Drosophila melanogaster: one gene and its partners. Changing the gene in region 2 together with the main gene of any one other region gives a genetic interaction. Each region holds a gene or a part of one and is shown on either strand. Other genes may lie near its edges.

Evidence for each region.
Region 1: of Dcr-1 (region 2) and dap, changing one suppresses a phenotype caused by changing the other (phenotypic suppression), as found in Drosophila melanogaster (2 studies listed by BioGRID).
Region 3: of Dcr-1 (region 2) and CycE, changing one suppresses a phenotype caused by changing the other (phenotypic suppression), as found in Drosophila melanogaster (one study listed by BioGRID).

The regions. Positions count from the first base shown.
Region 1 is NT_033778.4:9,710,544-9,716,797, reverse strand, and holds dap (dacapo), read right to left. Parts: upstream 4,478-6,254; 5' UTR 3,859-4,477; coding exon 3,695-3,858; intron 3,636-3,694; coding exon 3,235-3,635; intron 1,888-3,234; coding exon 1,715-1,887; 3' UTR 542-1,714; downstream 1-541. Other genes in the region: sqa (spaghetti-squash activator), read left to right, coding at 1-279.
Region 2 is NT_033777.3:22,735,089-22,743,040, reverse strand, and holds the start of Dcr-1 (Dicer-1), read left to right. Parts: upstream 1-1,949; 5' UTR 1,950-2,010; coding exon 2,011-4,644; intron 4,645-4,696; coding exon 4,697-6,305; intron 6,306-6,362; coding exon 6,363-7,952. Other genes in the region: CG6985 (uncharacterized protein), read right to left, coding at 44-115, 174-227, 287-886, 945-1,724. UniProt on the Drosophila melanogaster protein: Endoribonuclease which functions in microRNA- (miRNA) gene silencing and, independently of its ribonuclease III activity, also acts in the short interfering RNA- (siRNA) gene silencing pathway.
Region 3 is NT_033779.5:15,743,570-15,748,494, forward strand, and holds the start of CycE (cyclin E), read right to left. Parts: upstream 3,042-4,925; 5' UTR 2,915-3,041; coding exon 2,886-2,914; exon of another isoform or gene 2,688-2,885; intron 2,075-2,687; exon of another isoform or gene 1,823-2,074; intron 1-1,822. UniProt on the Drosophila melanogaster protein: Essential for the control of the cell cycle at the G1/S (start) transition. Targeted by archipelago for degradation by the SFC ubiquitin ligase complex.

The DNA.
Region 1 (6,254 bases), on a different chromosome or scaffold from region 2:
GGGCTGCCGGACACTCATCAAACCGTGAATCTGGAGGAGGCGGCCAACACCACCAAGGATTGCCTGCTGCATTTGTTGGAGAAATACAACGAGACCCGCATCCGCAATCCGGTGGGTCGTCACCAGAGCATCAGCGTGGACTGGCGGGTCAGCGACAATCTGGAGTACCGCTCCATGAGCTCCATCAACGCCTTCTTCCAGCGCCACAACCCCAATGGCGGCGGCCACAACGTACGCCACATTCAAGCCCAGCTGGAGGAGAAGGCGGCGGGCAAGTAGGTGCCCATATCCACAGCCCTCTGTATATATGCGATATATATATTTGTATGTAGAGTACAGATCAACTAATTGGCACATAGGTAAATCTACAAAGCGTCGAATGGAACAAATTAATATTTATGTACTTGATGTAAGCAATAAATCAAATTAATTTATTGAATAAAACTGAAGCAATGATTCGTTTCTATTGACGCGGGATTGAATTTTGTTGGCATCCCACGATATTTTATAAAAATGAAATTAAAAATTAAAAACGCGATTTATGTACTACCAACTAGAAAATCAAAAACAATTTATTGCAGAAAAACAAATATTAACTTATAAAATGTACAAAATTGTTTTAGTAAACTACATTTTACTGCTACGTCTACAACCAAAGTAATGCGGATGTGTTGGTAATTTTGAAACAGGACAATCGCGTTGTTTTTGTTTTGTTTATTGATGTATGAGTTGAATATGGTTTAATTATACATAGAGTGTCTATACATATAAATATTAGGAGAATACTTTGGATTTGTTCTTAGTTAGGCCTTACAAATTAATGCTTTGTATAAGTGTTATGAAGAATAGGCTCTGCCTATGTGTATAGTATGTATAATAATCTAGTTTTTGTACATGATAGTTTCAGGCAAAATTGTTTTCATAATTTGCCCAGAGATCATAGCAAATCATAAAAGACATTTTTAGCACTGGTTAAGAAATGAGAGCGCGACAATTTGTGTCCATTCGGCGGCATTCATATAAATAAGGCATCCAAACGTGCAGAAATTGACGAAGTTAATTCAAAGGCATTCCTCTTTTTTTTTTTTGTTTTCCACTGGTCGAATTGGTTACAATGTTAGTAGGTCGCAAAAACAAAGCAGCAATGAGCCGAAATGCGGCTTATTGGGGCATCGTTTTGGCGCCCTTAATATGCAAGACAAAACTCAATTCTACTCTCCCCTCAGTTTCAGTACTTGGATGAAGTGGCAGGGCAGAGAAAGGATGAGTTTTGTTCACCCGGCAAATTTCAAATGCAAAAGTTGCCGGCGAAATTTGCAAGGATTTCACAAAGTTATGTAAAGTTAGTATTCCATCGTTATAAAGGTTAAATTTCGGTTGGCTTCAAGATAGTTAAGACTAATTCCATTTAGCTTGCGGTCTCTCTCTTCTTGTTCAATAGTTGTTTGTTGTTAAGAACTAATCACTTAGTTTATGGCATTTCTCACTAGAGAAATCTAAAAAGTTTCATTTAGCTCGAGCTTACTGGTTGACTTACAACTAATTACTGGTTACGAGTAGTTGAAGACTAACGATTAATATTCGCAACTGTCGCCCTTGCACTGCATAAAAAGGTTCGTAATAAAAAATTAGGAAATACTACACAATCGCAGTGGCTTGTAAAAAATAAAATTACAAATTGCAATTCGGTGGGTTGGCCAGCGAATCTGGAGCATTAGTTGTGGCGCGGCCGCTTCAACATCGCCCCAAAGTGTGCCCCCAACCCAAATCCACCGCTGGAGCTGGAGCTGGAAGTGGCGGACGAACTGGGAGAACTGGTGCGCATGCGCTTTGCGGGCGATAGTTTCTTGGGTGCCTGGGCCAGACGTTTGCGCTCCTTCATGAATTCTGTAAACAAAGGAAGGAAAACGAGTGTTATTAATACGTGTTAGGTGGAATTGCCAAATCAAAGTCAGCTGCTGCATTTCCGGTTGCCCCTGTTCACAAGTCACTGATCCCTAAACAGCAGGCGCCGCCTGTTTTTCTGTTTTTGCACATTTTGATTTCGGTTTCGGGTAGATTCCCAGATTGTGGCACGTGGACGGCAGCACTTCCCTACCAGAGGGTTGCAGATCCGCACAGGGGTAGCAAATAAATGCCAGACGGCAGCCAGACAGTCGGTCTTTAGCCGGTTTTCAGGTAGTCCGGTGAAAGCAAGAGTGGTGGTGCTACATAACTGCATAAATTATGAGCTCTAGCTTACTGGCCAAAGCAGCAAAAAGTGCACTTTAAGTAAAGCGAGTTGAGGCGTTGGGGGATTCAAAGGCTTCCCTACTGACCACCCGATGCGGGTGCATTTATTATGTTCCGAACAGACACAATTTTTTTATGATTATAATTACACATGCATGTGCTAGTGGCATTTATAAAAAACGCTCAGTACAAAGCAATCAAAGGGAGGTTTGATAAGACCATGGACTCTGGATGGTGGTGCATTGAAAGCCGATCCCCAGACCCCTCTCCCGTTTTCTATAATGAGGTCAGGCCATAGACAAAGCGGAGTCACAGCTGTTGGCATTTATAGATGCAGCCAGCCAGCCCGCATGCTATCGATCTGGAAACCAACCCCCGCGTTGTGGAGGATCAGAAGAGAATCATTCGGTTTAGGGAGATGAGGAGCTGAAACAGCTGCAGTCAGCTTTGACTTACCCTTCTGGACGAAAATAAATCTCCCACAAAGCATTGGCTAATTGCTATAATTTGGGTCTAAGTTTCACGAAAAACGCCCACAACTAAAACGTGAATATAAACAATAAATGCGAAGGAGTGGACTTAAAACCAATCAAACAACCCCTTATGGAGTTTAGTATTGTAAGTACAAAATCCTGCACAAAATATTGGTTTGGCATAAAATCATTGATGAAAATCGTTTTCATCGAGTTTGCAAAACAAAGAGCACGAATCTACTTTTATATCTCGAGCACTATATTCGGAAATTTTTAGATAATACTCTCTACTCTACAGATAATTTTGAAAAATAATATCGTATCAGTCCGATTACAAAACAAGCCTGATAAGTTAAAAAAAAAAAAAAAACACCCTCAACTTCCTCCTGAGAACCGAAAATAAACAGGGAATAAAAGGAAAGCTATGGGAAAACACTTTGTAACGTCTATCGAAGTGAAATGAAGCCTGACCCTGGGAACCGTCAAGCTCTACTGATCAAAATGGTGTAGAACATCCCCCAAAACTCACCTGTGATTTTTGGCTGTCTCTTGCGCAGGACTATGGAGGATGTGCTTGTCGTGCTGGAGGAGCTAAGCCGCATTGCCAGCGACTCGTCCTGGGAGTCGTAACAAGATTCATTATCCGTGTTCGACTCTAGCGAGGAATTGACCAGATTGGAGCCAAAGTTCTCCCGTTCTGAGCGCTCGTTGACCAAAATGTCCATGTCGCTAGGACTTGCATCCGCGGAAGGGCGTACGTGGGCGGCCCGTGTTAGGGTGTACATCTCTGGGGCGAAGCTCGACTCCTGGAAGCTGACGCGCTCCCAAATGTAGGGTGATTTTTCAGCTAAAGGGCAGCCGGCGCGGAAGTCAAAGCCCCATTTTTGCGTGGCCAGTTCTTGATGGCGCTCCAGTTCGGAATTAAAGGGTCTAAAGAGGATATATTGTTAGCTATTGGTCAAAATCCAACTGTTATTATAGAAACTCACGTTTTGTTGGCTGTACCCTCGGCGGATTTGGAGCTACCGAAGAGGTCACGCTTTATGCGATTCAACTGACGACCGCATGCCAGATTGCGACTCACCGCCGGGCTGCTGCTCATCTTGCAGAACTCACTGATCATCACAGGATTCAGGACTCGGGCACTGACCATGTTGAGTCAATATATATTTTTTTGGGATCCCCTAGTGTTTTCTACTCTGTTTTGAGACGCACTTTTCTTGCCACTTGTTTGCGAATTACACGCCAAAGCGAACTGTCAAACTTTTGGCGCCAAAACTTTGTGTTCAGACAGCCCCAAAAGAGAGAGAGGCAGTCTCCACACGAATACAAATCACGGTCTCCACACGCGAGCGTGTGTGTATGTGAGAGGGAGAGCGAGTGTTCTGTGTGTGCGTTGTGCTGCAGCTTATTTTACGTCTTGCTGCGTTCAAAAGTGAAATTTCACGCTGCAATTGTTTATAAAAATAATTATAAACAAATGCCTTGGTCCAATAGCACTTGGTCACTATCTTTGAATGGCGATTCGAACACACTGCACTGCTAGTCGACTCACAAAACGAAACGTTTGCGGGTCTCGTTGGAGTTTTTGTATGAGTTAGCTGCCAATGGCAGCACCTTTGTATTATATTTGTCTTTACAACTTGAAGTCGTTTTTACAGCGATGTTTGTTAACCTTTTCGGCTATGAGCGCACTGCGCACTAGATTTTTAAATATAGCGCTACCGATCGAAGCGAACCTCTCTCGACGAACTCGGAGAAACGAATAAAAGATAAATAAAACACTGGGCAAAAGCAAACGTCAAACAACCACCAGAGGCGTTGCCAACTGGAAATTCAGAGCGGTTCACGCTCTCTCTGTAGCAACCCTCGAATTCGAAAAGATCGGAAAAGCAGCAGGAGCGAAAGAGATAGGGAAAAAGAATGCGCTTTTAATGTTAATCATATCGAAAGAGCAATGCACTTCCTTTGAATTGTTCTTTAAACTTATATAGCAAACGTATAAAAAATACTCAGAAAAATAAAAGTTTCCTAACAAAATTTAACTAAGGCATCTGAGTTTAAAAGTTTTGATATTATGAGCTTTAATATAATTATTGATTGTTGGAATCATCATATAGTACAATATATAATACGTATTCATTATTATTATTATTATTATTATTATCATTATTTTCATTATTTCCTGTCAAATAATATTCACAGCTCATAAGCCCATAGTTCATTTGTAAACAGTATTCAACCAGATTTTATTTTTAATGTTTTTGAAATAACCAATTTAATTATATTTTAAACTGTCCAAGGTTCCTTCATAGAGCGTATCAAGAAAGTCGTCACAACTTCCACAACCTCTCTCTCTCTCACCATATGTCTCCCACTCTCTCGCACGCCATCTACCCATCCCTGCCATTTCCATCCGTGTGTTCTGTTCGCTGCCTTCTTGGTTGTTGTTGCATCGGTGGAGCTGTACTTTTAGTTGCGATTGCGATGGGAAGATACGAAAAAACGATGTTATGGTTTTGGTTTGTTTGGCCTCAAACTGGATTTTTAGTCGTCGGAGGGAAGTGGCAGGGGGCATTTGGGGCACCAATTCTTTTCACTTTCCTCGTGTTGCCAAGGGGAAAATCGCGCTTGCATTGTGGGGCACTGGTCCACCAAATATACATTTGTACGATGTATGTATGTATGTATGTAAAATAATGTGCACGTCTAGTTCGAATTTCCTTGTGGTGTTTGCATAGCACTGGGTATTTCAAATTTCCGTTATGGTTCACTTTGTGAAACGCAAGTTTTCTGCTCATTTCGTGCTGCATTTTCATAAAGTTTTTTTCCTTTCGTGTGCAAAATCGTAAAAAATTAAATTACACTACCAAAGGCAATAAAACGAGATTTATATTGTTTGAACAAATCCAATTAAATAAGAAGGAAAGAATTGGGACAAAGCCTTGGAAGTCAGATTCGTAGACTAAAGACATCATTTGCTTTGTCCTTTGCACTCGACGAAATAATGGGAAAACCCATCGGCTTTCCACACAAAAACCCGAGAAAAAAAAAAACAAGAAAAAACGGAGTGCAATCACCCCAAAAAAGGCAGAGATCGTTTGACGAACGTTCGATTAGGCAGCATCATCATCCATCCATAATTCGTTCCTTTCCACTCCCATAAGATCCGATCCCTTGTGGTTCGGTTTTCTGTTTATGGGACACACCCTCCCTCAAAAAGAAAAGCAACGTGAATTTACACACTTTATAACAAATTTGAGAATTCTACTGGCGTTCGGCGGCAGTCATGCCTGAAAACATAAACAACTCAAGAAGGAGTTTTTCGAAAGGGGAAGAGTTCGTGATCCCTTTAAGTAATTTCCTCCCGAGCAGGATATCCTGGCTTTATATGGGTTGTGTCAACACACGCGGAAAAACAAAAAAAAAAAAGGCTGAGAAAAGAGGTGGAAAAGCGGTTCTCAAGTGTCCCGCTTATGAGGGCAGATCCTAAAGGATTGTCGTGGAACGTGCGGGCATTGGATGGCACTCAAGGTATTCACTTGATTG
Region 2 (7,952 bases):
ATTTTGTTTACATTTATATTCTTGAAGTTAACGTTTTGTTTGTTTAAGTTTTTACTCTCACTTTTCTTGAATAAACCAGTTGAATACAATCCAGACTATCCGATATAGCAGTTTCCTGTAAGGTCACATTGATTTACGCAATTTAAGTTAGTAAAATGTAATACAAATCTCACCTCAAAGAAAACACGGTCAAAAGGTGGCTCACTTTTGGTCCAGTCCGCTAGATTCTATAGGTTATCAATGCAATAGGTGATTTATTAATATGATAAGAATTCGAAGTACTCACATTAGATGCGGTCGGTATAAGCTGGCTGCGGCAATTCTGAAGATCTTCTATAGAATCATCACCCATATGCCCATAGAACTGCAACTCCTCCGGAGAACCTCCGGCTGTGATGAGAGTATATATTTTGGTATCCATTGCTCCAACGGCCAGCAGTTGGTTGGCTTGCTGCCTGGAATTGTGATTATAAATAATTAGGTGTTTGCAGCGAAGAGCTCGAAGCGCCGACAAGTCACTGGTCAAAATCAAGCCAATCATTGGTTCTCCATCGGCAAGAGAATTAAATAAGTTCACTTTTTGGGGACCATCTAGCTGCGCATGGTCCAAACTATAACTCTGACAGTATCCCCTGACCAGGGTGAGGCAATCCTCACTGTTTGCCAAGATGCAGCACTTCTCGCCTCGCTCCGCCACTAAGTGATCCAGCATTACGTGTAGAAACTCGAACTTGGCGGAGTCGTAAAGTCCCATGCTTGGCCAAGGCGGCAGTATGGCGTCCAGTACCTCCATTATTTCCTTAAACACTGGATTCGTACCCAAAGTTTTTAGGAGCACAGGATGATCACATACAATTTGGAAGATTTCCTTCAACGTAGACGATTCCTGAAATACAAGTTTTTTGATTTGTTTATGCATGTAAATTGGTCTAAATCTATCTTACTGTTTTAGATGTTTGTGCATATTCAGAAACAAAGAGTAATATTTTTTTCTGCAGTTCAGCTGGAGTTAATAGACACAGATATTCCGATTGGGTGAACTCCTTGGTAGGGTTTTCTATCTTCAAAGTGTTTTGTTCATAGATTTTCTTTCCCATCGAAGTGCTGGAATCGGCGGCTGCATAGGAGACATGTTTATCTTCTCTATGTTGGCTAATTTCCAAATGCGGTGGAGCAAAGGCATCTGCCTCGCGCTTGATCTTCTTGAGCAGATGAGACCTAACGGGTGCACTGTCAGCAGGTGGTGGCGATGTGTCTGTACAACCATTCTGGGCATCTATTTTTTGGCACCAGTTGGCTATTTCCAACTGGCGCTGAATAAGGCACTCCTCGACGGTTTTAATCTCCTCCTGAATCTCGACATCCTTGCTGCCTACTTCCAGCTGATCGTTCTCCTGAAGTTGCCGCTGCTTAAAGTATGTCATGGTGTCCACAACCTTGCCGGTGTCATCCTTCAATGTTACTATGGATCCCGTGACCACCAGCGTTCCGTTGCCAGTCCACGTTTTGTGCTTTTTGGTGGTCTGATTACGCCAGAGCACATGGAAGATGCGGCTATCTTTGAGGGGATTCTCGCCCGCCCTGAATTCTCGAGGTCCCAGGCTTTGGGTGCCCCCTGAGGTGCCCCATTCGCTGGGTAGATTGTTTTTGGGCCAGGAGCAGGGTGACTGTGGTTCCTCTTTGGGAGGCGCCGCTTCGCTCTCTCGCTTTGCAGCGCGGCGCATGGAAGGAGCTTTGGAACGCCGCTTTATGGTGCTAAAGAAGAGGATTACCGGGTATAGTTCACCGTAAATACATAAGTTAATTTAAAAACTTTTGCTATCAACAAAATATAAATATACAAGGCGCAATCTATTTTCAAGCCACTTGTAAGTGTGGCCAATGAAGTGAACCTCGAAAGGTATTCCGAACCCTGGTCACACTGGCATTCTGCTGGTAGCCGGCTCTGGATGATTTTCTGATAGAAATCTCGCAGAGGCAGTGGTGTTTTTGTGAATCCCCTCAGCCACGATGGCGTTCCACTGGTGCGACAACAATCTGCACACCACCGTGTTCACGCCGCGCGACTTTCAGGTGGAGCTACTGGCCACCGCCTACGAGCGGAACACGATTATTTGCCTGGGCCATCGAAGTTCCAAGGAGTTTATAGCCCTCAAGCTGCTCCAGGAGCTGTCGCGTCGAGCACGCCGACATGGTCGTGTCAGTGTCTATCTCAGTTGCGAGGTTGGCACCAGCACGGAACCATGCTCCATCTACACGATGCTCACCCACTTGACTGACCTGCGGGTGTGGCAGGAGCAGCCGGATATGCAAATTCCCTTTGATCATTGCTGGACGGACTATCACGTTTCCATCCTACGGCCAGAGGGATTTCTTTATCTGCTCGAAACTCGCGAGCTGCTGCTGAGCAGCGTCGAACTGATCGTGCTGGAAGATTGTCATGACAGCGCCGTTTATCAGAGGATAAGGCCTCTGTTCGAGAATCACATTATGCCAGCGCCACCGGCGGACAGGCCACGGATTCTCGGACTCGCTGGACCGCTGCACAGCGCCGGATGTGAGCTGCAGCAACTGAGCGCCATGCTGGCCACCCTGGAGCAGAGTGTGCTTTGCCAGATCGAGACGGCCAGTGATATTGTCACCGTGTTGCGTTACTGTTCCCGACCGCACGAATACATCGTACAGTGCGCCCCCTTCGAGATGGACGAACTGTCCCTGGTGCTTGCCGATGTGCTCAACACACACAAGTCCTTTTTATTGGACCACCGCTACGATCCCTACGAAATCTACGGCACAGACCAGTTTATGGACGAACTGAAAGACATACCCGATCCCAAGGTGGACCCCCTGAACGTCATCAACTCACTACTGGTCGTGCTGCACGAGATGGGTCCTTGGTGCACGCAGCGGGCTGCACATCACTTTTACCAATGCAATGAGAAGTTAAAGGTGAAGACGCCGCACGAACGTCACTACTTGCTGTACTGCCTAGTGAGCACGGCCCTTATCCAACTGTACTCCCTCTGCGAACACGCATTCCATCGACATTTAGGAAGTGGCAGCGATTCACGCCAGACCATCGAACGCTATTCCAGCCCCAAGGTGCGACGTCTGTTGCAGACACTGAGGTGCTTCAAGCCGGAAGAGGTGCACACCCAAGCGGACGGACTGCGCAGAATGCGGCATCAGGTGGATCAGGCGGACTTCAATCGGTTATCTCATACGCTGGAAAGCAAGTGCCGAATGGTGGATCAAATGGACCAACCGCCGACGGAGACACGAGCCCTGGTGGCCACTCTTGAGCAGATTCTGCACACGACAGAGGACAGGCAGACGAACAGAAGCGCCGCTCGGGTGACTCCTACTCCTACTCCCGCTCATGCGAAGCCGAAACCTAGCTCTGGTGCCAACACTGCACAACCACGAACTCGTAGACGTGTGTACACCAGGCGCCACCACCGGGATCACAATGATGGCAGCGACACGCTCTGCGCACTGATTTACTGCAACCAGAACCACACGGCTCGCGTGCTCTTTGAGCTTCTAGCGGAGATTAGCAGACGTGATCCCGATCTCAAGTTCCTACGCTGCCAGTACACCACGGACCGGGTGGCAGATCCCACCACGGAGCCCAAAGAGGCTGAGTTGGAGCACCGGCGGCAGGAAGAGGTGCTAAAGCGCTTCCGCATGCATGACTGCAATGTCCTGATCGGTACTTCGGTGCTGGAAGAGGGCATCGATGTGCCCAAGTGCAATTTGGTTGTGCGCTGGGATCCGCCAACCACATATCGCAGTTACGTTCAGTGCAAAGGTCGAGCCCGTGCTGCTCCAGCCTATCATGTCATTCTCGTCGCTCCGAGTTATAAAAGCCCAACTGTGGGGTCAGTGCAGCTGACCGATCGGAGTCATCGGTATATTTGCGCGACTGGTGATACTACAGAGGCGGACAGCGACTCTGATGATTCAGCGATGCCAAACTCGTCCGGCTCGGATCCCTATACTTTTGGCACGGCACGCGGAACCGTGAAGATCCTCAACCCCGAAGTGTTCAGTAAACAACCACCGACAGCGTGCGACATTAAGCTGCAGGAGATCCAGGACGAATTGCCAGCCGCAGCGCAGCTGGATACGAGCAACTCCAGCGACGAAGCCGTCAGCATGAGTAACACGTCTCCAAGCGAGAGCAGTACAGAACAAAAATCCAGACGCTTCCAGTGCGAGCTGAGCTCTTTAACGGAGCCAGAAGACACAAGTGATACTACAGCCGAAATCGATACTGCTCATAGTTTAGCCAGCACCACGAAGGACTTGGTGCATCAAATGGCACAGTATCGCGAAATCGAGCAGATGCTGCTATCCAAGTGCGCCAACACAGAGCCGCCGGAGCAGGAGCAGAGTGAGGCGGAACGTTTTAGTGCCTGCCTGGCCGCATACCGACCCAAGCCGCACCTGCTAACAGGCGCCTCCGTGGATCTGGGTTCTGCTATAGCTTTGGTCAACAAGTACTGCGCCCGACTGCCAAGCGACACGTTCACCAAGTTGACGGCGTTGTGGCGCTGCACCCGAAACGAAAGGGCTGGAGTGACCCTGTTTCAGTACACACTCCGTCTGCCCATCAACTCGCCATTGAAGCATGACATTGTGGTAAGTACTTGTAATACGAATTATTTAAGATTTGTTAAATACTCTTCTTTAGGGTCTTCCGATGCCAACTCAAACATTGGCCCGCCGACTGGCTGCCTTGCAGGCTTGCGTGGAACTGCACAGGATCGGTGAGTTAGACGATCAGTTGCAGCCTATCGGCAAGGAGGGATTTCGTGCCCTGGAGCCGGACTGGGAGTGCTTTGAACTGGAGCCAGAGGACGAACAGATTGTGCAGCTAAGCGATGAACCACGTCCGGGAACAACGAAGCGTCGTCAGTACTATTACAAACGCATTGCATCCGAATTTTGCGATTGCCGTCCCGTTGCCGGAGCGCCATGCTATTTGTACTTTATCCAACTGACGCTCCAATGTCCGATTCCCGAAGAGCAAAACACGCGGGGACGCAAGATTTATCCGCCCGAAGATGCGCAGCAGGGATTCGGCATTCTAACCACCAAACGGATACCCAAGCTGAGTGCTTTCTCGATATTCACGCGTTCCGGTGAGGTGAAGGTTTCCCTGGAGTTAGCTAAGGAACGCGTGATTCTAACTAGCGAACAAATAGTCTGCATCAACGGATTTTTAAACTACACGTTCACCAATGTACTGCGTTTGCAAAAGTTTCTGATGCTCTTCGATCCGGACTCCACGGAAAATTGTGTATTCATTGTGCCCACCGTGAAGGCACCAGCTGGCGGCAAGCACATCGACTGGCAGTTTCTGGAGCTGATCCAAGCGAATGGAAATACAATGCCACGGGCAGTGCCCGATGAGGAGCGCCAGGCGCAGCCGTTTGATCCGCAACGCTTCCAGGATGCCGTCGTTATGCCGTGGTATCGCAACCAGGATCAACCGCAGTATTTCTATGTGGCGGAGATATGTCCACATCTATCCCCACTCAGCTGCTTCCCTGGTGACAACTACCGCACGTTCAAGCACTACTACCTCGTCAAGTATGGTCTGACCATACAGAATACCTCGCAGCCGCTATTGGACGTGGATCACACCAGTGCGCGGTTAAACTTCCTCACGCCACGATACGTTAATCGCAAGGGCGTTGCTCTGCCCACTAGTTCGGAGGAGACAAAGCGGGCAAAGCGCGAGAATCTCGAACAGAAGCAGATCCTTGTGCCAGAGCTCTGCACTGTGCATCCATTCCCCGCCTCCTTGTGGCGAACTGCCGTGTGCCTGCCCTGCATCCTGTACCGCATAAATGGTCTTCTATTGGCCGACGATATTCGGAAACAGGTTTCTGCGGATCTGGGGCTGGGAAGGCAACAGATCGAAGATGAGGATTTCGAGTGGCCCATGCTGGACTTTGGGTGGAGTCTATCGGAGGTGCTCAAGAAATCGCGGGAGTCCAAACAAAAGGAGTCCCTTAAGGATGATACTATTAATGGCAAAGACTTAGCTGATGTTGAAAAGAAACCGACTAGCGAGGAGACCCAACTAGATAAGGATTCAAAAGACGATAAGGTTGAGAAAAGTGCTATTGAACTAATCATTGAGGGAGAGGAGAAGCTGCAAGAGGCTGATGACTTCATTGAGATAGGCACTTGGTCAAACGATATGGCCGACGATATAGCTAGTTTTAACCAAGAAGACGACGACGAGGATGACGCCTTCCATCTCCCAGTTTTACCGGCAAACGTTAAGTTCTGTAAGTTATTTAAATCCCTTGCTAAGGATCAGAAATAATCCCTAATACATCTTACAGGTGATCAGCAAACGCGCTACGGTTCGCCCACATTTTGGGATGTGAGCAATGGCGAAAGCGGCTTCAAGGGTCCAAAGAGCAGTCAGAATAAGCAGGGTGGCAAGGGCAAAGCAAAGGGTCCGGCAAAGCCCACATTTAACTATTATGACTCGGACAATTCGCTGGGTTCCAGCTACGATGACGACGATAACGCAGGTCCGCTCAATTACATGCATCACAACTACAGTTCGGATGACGACGATGTGGCAGATGATATCGATGCGGGACGCATTGCGTTCACCTCCAAGAATGAAGCGGAGACTATTGAAACCGCACAGGAAGTGGAAAAGCGCCAGAAGCAGCTGTCCATCATCCAGGCGACCAATGCTAACGAGCGGCAGTATCAGCAGACAAAGAACCTGCTCATTGGATTCAATTTTAAGCATGAGGACCAGAAGGAACCTGCCACTATAAGATATGAAGAATCCATAGCTAAGCTCAAAACGGAAATAGAATCCGGCGGCATGTTGGTGCCGCACGACCAGCAGTTGGTTCTAAAAAGAAGTGATGCCGCTGAGGCTCAGGTTGCAAAGGTATCGATGATGGAGCTATTGAAGCAGCTGCTGCCGTATGTAAATGAAGATGTGCTGGCCAAAAAGCTGGGTGATAGGCGCGAGCTTCTGCTGTCGGATTTGGTAGAGCTAAATGCAGATTGGGTAGCGCGACATGAGCAGGAGACCTACAATGTAATGGGATGCGGAGATAGTTTTGACAACTATAACGATCATCATCGGCTGAACTTGGATGAAAAGCAACTGAAACTGCAATACGAACGAATTGAAATTGAGCCACCTACTTCCACGAAGGCCATAACCTCAGCCATATTACCAGCTGGCTTCAGTTTCGATCGACAACCGGATCTAGTGGGCCATCCAGGACCCAGTCCCAGCATCATTTTGCAAGCCCTCACAATGTCCAATGCTAACGATGGCATCAATCTGGAGCGACTGGAGACAATTGGAGATTCCTTTCTAAAGTATGCCATTACCACCTACTTGTACATCACCTACGAGAATGTGCACGAGGGAAAACTAAGTCACCTGCGCTCCAAGCAGGTTGCCAATCTCAATCTCTATCGTCTGGGCAGACGTAAGAGACTGGGTGAATATATGATAGCCACTAAATTCGAGCCGCACGACAATTGGCTGCCACCCTGCTACTACGTGCCAAAGGAGCTAGAGAAGGCGCTCATCGAGGCGAAGATCCCCACTCACCATTGGAAGCTGGCCGATCTGCTAGACATTAAGAACCTAAGCAGTGTGCAAATCTGCGAGATGGTTCGCGAAAAAGCCGATGCCCTGGGCTTGGAGCAGAATGGGGGTGCCCAAAATGGACAACTTGACGACTCCAATGATAGCTGCAATGATTTTAGCTGTTTTATTCCCTACAACCTTGTTTCGCAACACAGCATTCCGGATAAGTCTATTGCCGATTGCGTCGAAGCCCTCATTGGAGCCTATCTCATTGAGTGCGGACCCCGAGGGGCTTTACTCTTTATGGCCTGGCTGGGCGTGAGAGTGCTCCCTATCACAAGGCAGTTGGACGGGGGTA
Region 3 (4,925 bases), on a different chromosome or scaffold from region 2:
AAAGTCTGCAGGAGTTGTGTAACAACATAGCTACATAATGCTGATAGGGTAAGAGGGTGAAGTTCATTAGGAAGATATTTTCTCAAATCGAAAGCCTAATCATATTTGCATAATATGAAACTATAAATAATACTACTAAAAGTTTAAACCAATACACGAAGATTGCTTTATAAGCATCATTGAATTGAACCCGATCTTTGATGCTTCCTTTTCATACTCATGAATGCGTTTAAATTCTAATGGTCAATTGGCCCAAGTTTGCTGTGTTGCTTCAGTCGCATATGCCCACCCTACCCAGAACTACAGGGTACTGCAAACGAGAACAGGAAAGTCGATCCTCGCCTGCGCGCATCAGTGTATCTGTGAGTCCGAGTATCTGAGTATCTGTGTGCCGGGTATCTAAAGAGCGCCGCCTGGGCAAAACGGCGTGTGAAAGTAAAGTCGGCCCAGCCGATGGAGGAGAACAAATCAAAGTTCTTGAATGGAGCGGCAGCGGCGGCGATGGCGACGGCGGCGTTCCAGTTCCAAGAATCGATGGCCTTGAAGTAGCCGTTAGGACATCGGGACGCGCTCAATTGACTATTTAGTTTATATTTAGCAGCGTCTAAAAGGATGCCCACAGCGAGTCAGCTAGCTCAAGTGGCCTGCGTCCTGTCTCTTCCCCGCTCCACAAATCGCCAGTCGGACGGACTATCCTTTGTTTGTCTGGGAATAACTGGAAACTGTTTATCATTGTTGTTTCTGCTCCTCATACATACGGCTTCACCTCATTCCGATTCCGAATCGGATTCTTCTGCCGCAGCGACAAAAATGTGTATGGACTATAAAAAAAAAATGCCCACATATACATACATATGTACATATGAACCATTTATTTAAGGAGTTACTATTCACAACTCATCCTTTTGGAGAACATGTAATATTTGTAAAACATTCCGCACTTGTAATTGAGAAATATTGTTGGTATTTTACTAGGAATTCGGGTTAATATGGCCAGTTGATATGTGTGGATTCCTATAACCATTTACGTATGTATGTACATATGATGAGAAAATATTCGAGATCAGTTTGGGTTCCCATCTCGTCTAGAAAATCCTTTGATGACATACCGCTTTCGAAGGTGGCAAGCACTTGGAGGATCATGAGCAGAATTGAAAGGTGTTGACTAGGATTTGAATAGATCATATAAGGAGTGTTTAGGTGGGTCAAACAAAAGAAAATGTTGGGAAAATATACAAAATTCACGACACTGAATCATCAAAAACTTGATGCTCTTACTTTTTTCAAAATCACTTCTAAGAAAAACAATTTATTTCCCCATGGTTTAAACTGGCCAAATCTAAACATAAGCGGCTGATTTTCGGCACGATCATGACATAATCGAAAAATTAAGTATACAAAAATCCACCCCATCAACAATACACCACCCACCCCCCACGCACACCCCCGCCGCGATCGCTCCAAAAGTTTAACGGCGCAAAAAGCGAACACGCAAACTAAAAAACGTCAAAAGAATGCAAAAAATAAAGAAGAAAGCAAAAATTGCGAAGAAAACAACAACAAAATGAATGTGGCAGGTAAATGGAAGCAGAGGAGAAGAGGAAAGAACGAAGATGGCGCGAAGCAAGGTGGAGACGAAGGGGAAGCGAAAGCAAAACGCCGAGAAATATCAATGAACTCCATTCTCCACTTGGCAGTCTATCTCGCTCACTCATTGGTTGGGAGCACGTACATAGAGTAACTACTCACAAAAATAAATATAACCACGATTTTACAATAATTAAAATACTATTATTAATTCTACATATGTAAACATACATACATATGTATGTACGTAGATTGTGGGTAAGGGCTAAATGCCACTACCAATCTTTTTCTTCGTGTACCAAAGATATTTGCGCCACTTTTGACATAATTCATTATTTTGTTCTTCACTCGTTTACTCCATTTTGCTTTGAACCTCTGCTTCGTGTTCGTCAAGTTTTCGAAAGGTCCGTCGACTGATCGGCGATTTTCCGAATTTTTTCGACGTCGCAGTCAAATGCTCTCTTTTTTTCCGTTTTAGAGCGCAGTACTAAAACGTTTTTGTTTGTTGTTGGTGTTGGGAAGGGGAAAATAACTTGACTCGCTGTTCTGATTGGAATAAAACGGAAGAGAGCGAGAGAAAGAGAGCTTACTCTCTCTCTTAGCGAGCGCATTTCTTCCAAGTTTGTGCTTGTGTGTGTGTCATTGGAGGAAGCGTATAAAAATGAAATGAGCATGGGAAAAGAATGGAGAAACGCAAAGTGGCGCGAATTAGGCGTTTGGGCTGGGGCAGTTTTGTTTTACCGCCCAAAATCTATGCGAATGGCGGGAAAAAGTGCAATTCGGGCGGGAGAAAGATTAGAAAGTTGGCCCAAACAGCAGGGTAAACCATAAGCTGCATCTCAAGCCTTCTATAGTAAGAAAAGCTGTAATAGTTCACTGAACTCCCGTTACGCATTAGAAACTCAGTGCACTTTTAGACGTGATTAGAAGCTTTCATTTATTTCATAGGATTTTCCAATTTGTTCCCATTGGATAACGGTTTAATTCTAATAGGACACTTTTCCTTATAGGGGGAACACTAAAACACTGTGTGGGGGAGACAATTTGTAGTTGGACACCCCGTCTCTTGCCAATCAGAAAGCAACGGTTAAATCCTACAGCGTGTCAATTTTCTTATAAGAGGATGTTGTATTTGTAGCAAAAAATGCAAAGACACGACGGCAAACGCAGCATTCTCTCCCGCTCTTTCCTTCACTGTTCCACACACACTTGTCACCGCACACGCGTCATAAATTTTATTCCACTCTGAATAACGTATTGCCTTTTATCCACTAAAACCATTGTGCAATTGGTTTTACCTTCTAGTAAGCGGAAAAATGCTTAACATAATATCCCCGGTGTTTTCACTTGTTTTTCTTAAAGGGAATTGAACAACGTTTTTCGAGAGTTTTTCGTCGTCGTCGTCGCCGGCCACGAAAAAACTTCACGAGCAGCGGAGCGGCGGCAGCAAAGTGATCGCTTTGGAACCGAAAAAAAAATTGGTGGAACTGGGTATCAAAAGCAGCGACGTCGACTGCGGCGAGTGTGCATGAGGAACGCGCCAAAACAGGCGGATCCGAAGCGCCAAAAAATGCAACAAACACAGGGGGCAACTTTGTTGTACTCTAGGGGAGGGACGGAGATGGGGCGAGCATCTCCAGCGCAAAGAACAGAGCGTGAGAAAGCGAGACGGGGCGATGAAGCCGCTGGTGGCAAGCTTGGCATTTTATTGAATGGAGTCTGCAATTGGAGTCCCCAGTCCCCAACAGGCTAGTCAGACTACAATTGGAGGTTCGACGTCCAGTCAGCTGGGTGGTCGAAAAACAGCTGACGAGGATGCCAGAAGGGCGGATTTAGTCGGATATATCGTGGTTATATATAAATACCTAAGATTTATTTCTATGTCATATGCCAATTTTAATTCAAATATGACCTTCAGAAAATAAATATTTAAATTTTAATATGAAACTATTTTTTTTAATATATTTTTAAAGCGCTCCAAAATCAATTCAAGGTTAAAATAAATTTATCTTGAAGGGTATTCATAAATCTTTAAAATTTTAATTATTTATTTATTCTTCAGAAGCCTGAAATTACATGGTTTAATATGCTTTTCTAGTAGTTTTTATGAACTGCAGCCAAATAACATATGACAAGATGACTGAGGTCGAACTAGGTGGTAACGCTGCTTTGAAACCAAACAAACCACTGCCACTTTGTTGTTTTCATCGATTAACATTCGAGCATTTTTGGCACCAACTTCGAGCGCTTATAAATCAGGTAAGCTAAATGAAAAACCATGCGTGCCTATAACCAATTGAAAGATCAAAACTCGCAGAATCTGATTTTTCACTAAAATCGAAAATCCCGTTCAATTCGGCCAAATTAGAATCGATTGAACTTGATGATTTCCCGCGCGCGGGAACCCGACGTCGGCGCGCGCTGCTGACAGCGATGACAGCTGCGCGCGCAAAGAGAAGGCGCGGAAGAGAGCGCGAGAGGGGCAGGGGAACAGAGAGAGAAAGAGGCAAAAACGTCGACGTCGCTGCTCACGTTTTTTTTCCATTACTTTTCGACTGCTACAATATCGATGGAGAAAACGGGGTCTAAAGGAAATGGCTTAAAAAGCAAGTTCACGAACTTTTGAACCCTGCACCTGCTGCAAATCGAATGGGCCAATTGGCCGGCATCACTCACCTGCTGTTGGGCAGGATTCGGGCAAATTCTCAGCGGGATTGCACACTGAAAAACACACGCGGACTGGAATGGTGATGAAAAAAATTGCACACACCGCCGCACACATACACACGCACGCCAGCCAGCAAGACAGTATAGCCTCCTTTTTGTCACCTTTTTCGACAGATTTATCGTGGTTCTGCGGTCTTTTTCACGGCTAGCTCAACCCCACGGCAGTCAAGGCCAATTCGATGCGATCCCCGCGATTTTTCAGCGACTCCAAAGTAACACAATGATCGCAAGTGGCACTGTGACGAGATCGAAATCGAGAGAGCGATGAAAGAGCAAAAAAAAAGGCCATAATCATCTGGCCACACGGCGCAAAGAGAGAGTCGGAGTTTAGTGGCAGCGGCGTTGCCACTACGGCCGATCGCGTTGCGGGATTTTTATTGGCGCGTTATTCAAATTTTGAAAAATAACTTCTATGTTAGCCTGACTTTTACTGCTCTGCATATTTAGTTCACTATTTTTCCGGGCTGATCATATCTGGAAATCGGGTATTTAAAATAATAAAAGATGTGCAACGTGCTTAATGTTAAATGGGGTTTTAGAAAAGAAATTGTATTATATAAATTTTGCTTTGATTGTTCGATTAACGGATATTAAATAATTGGATTTTCCGT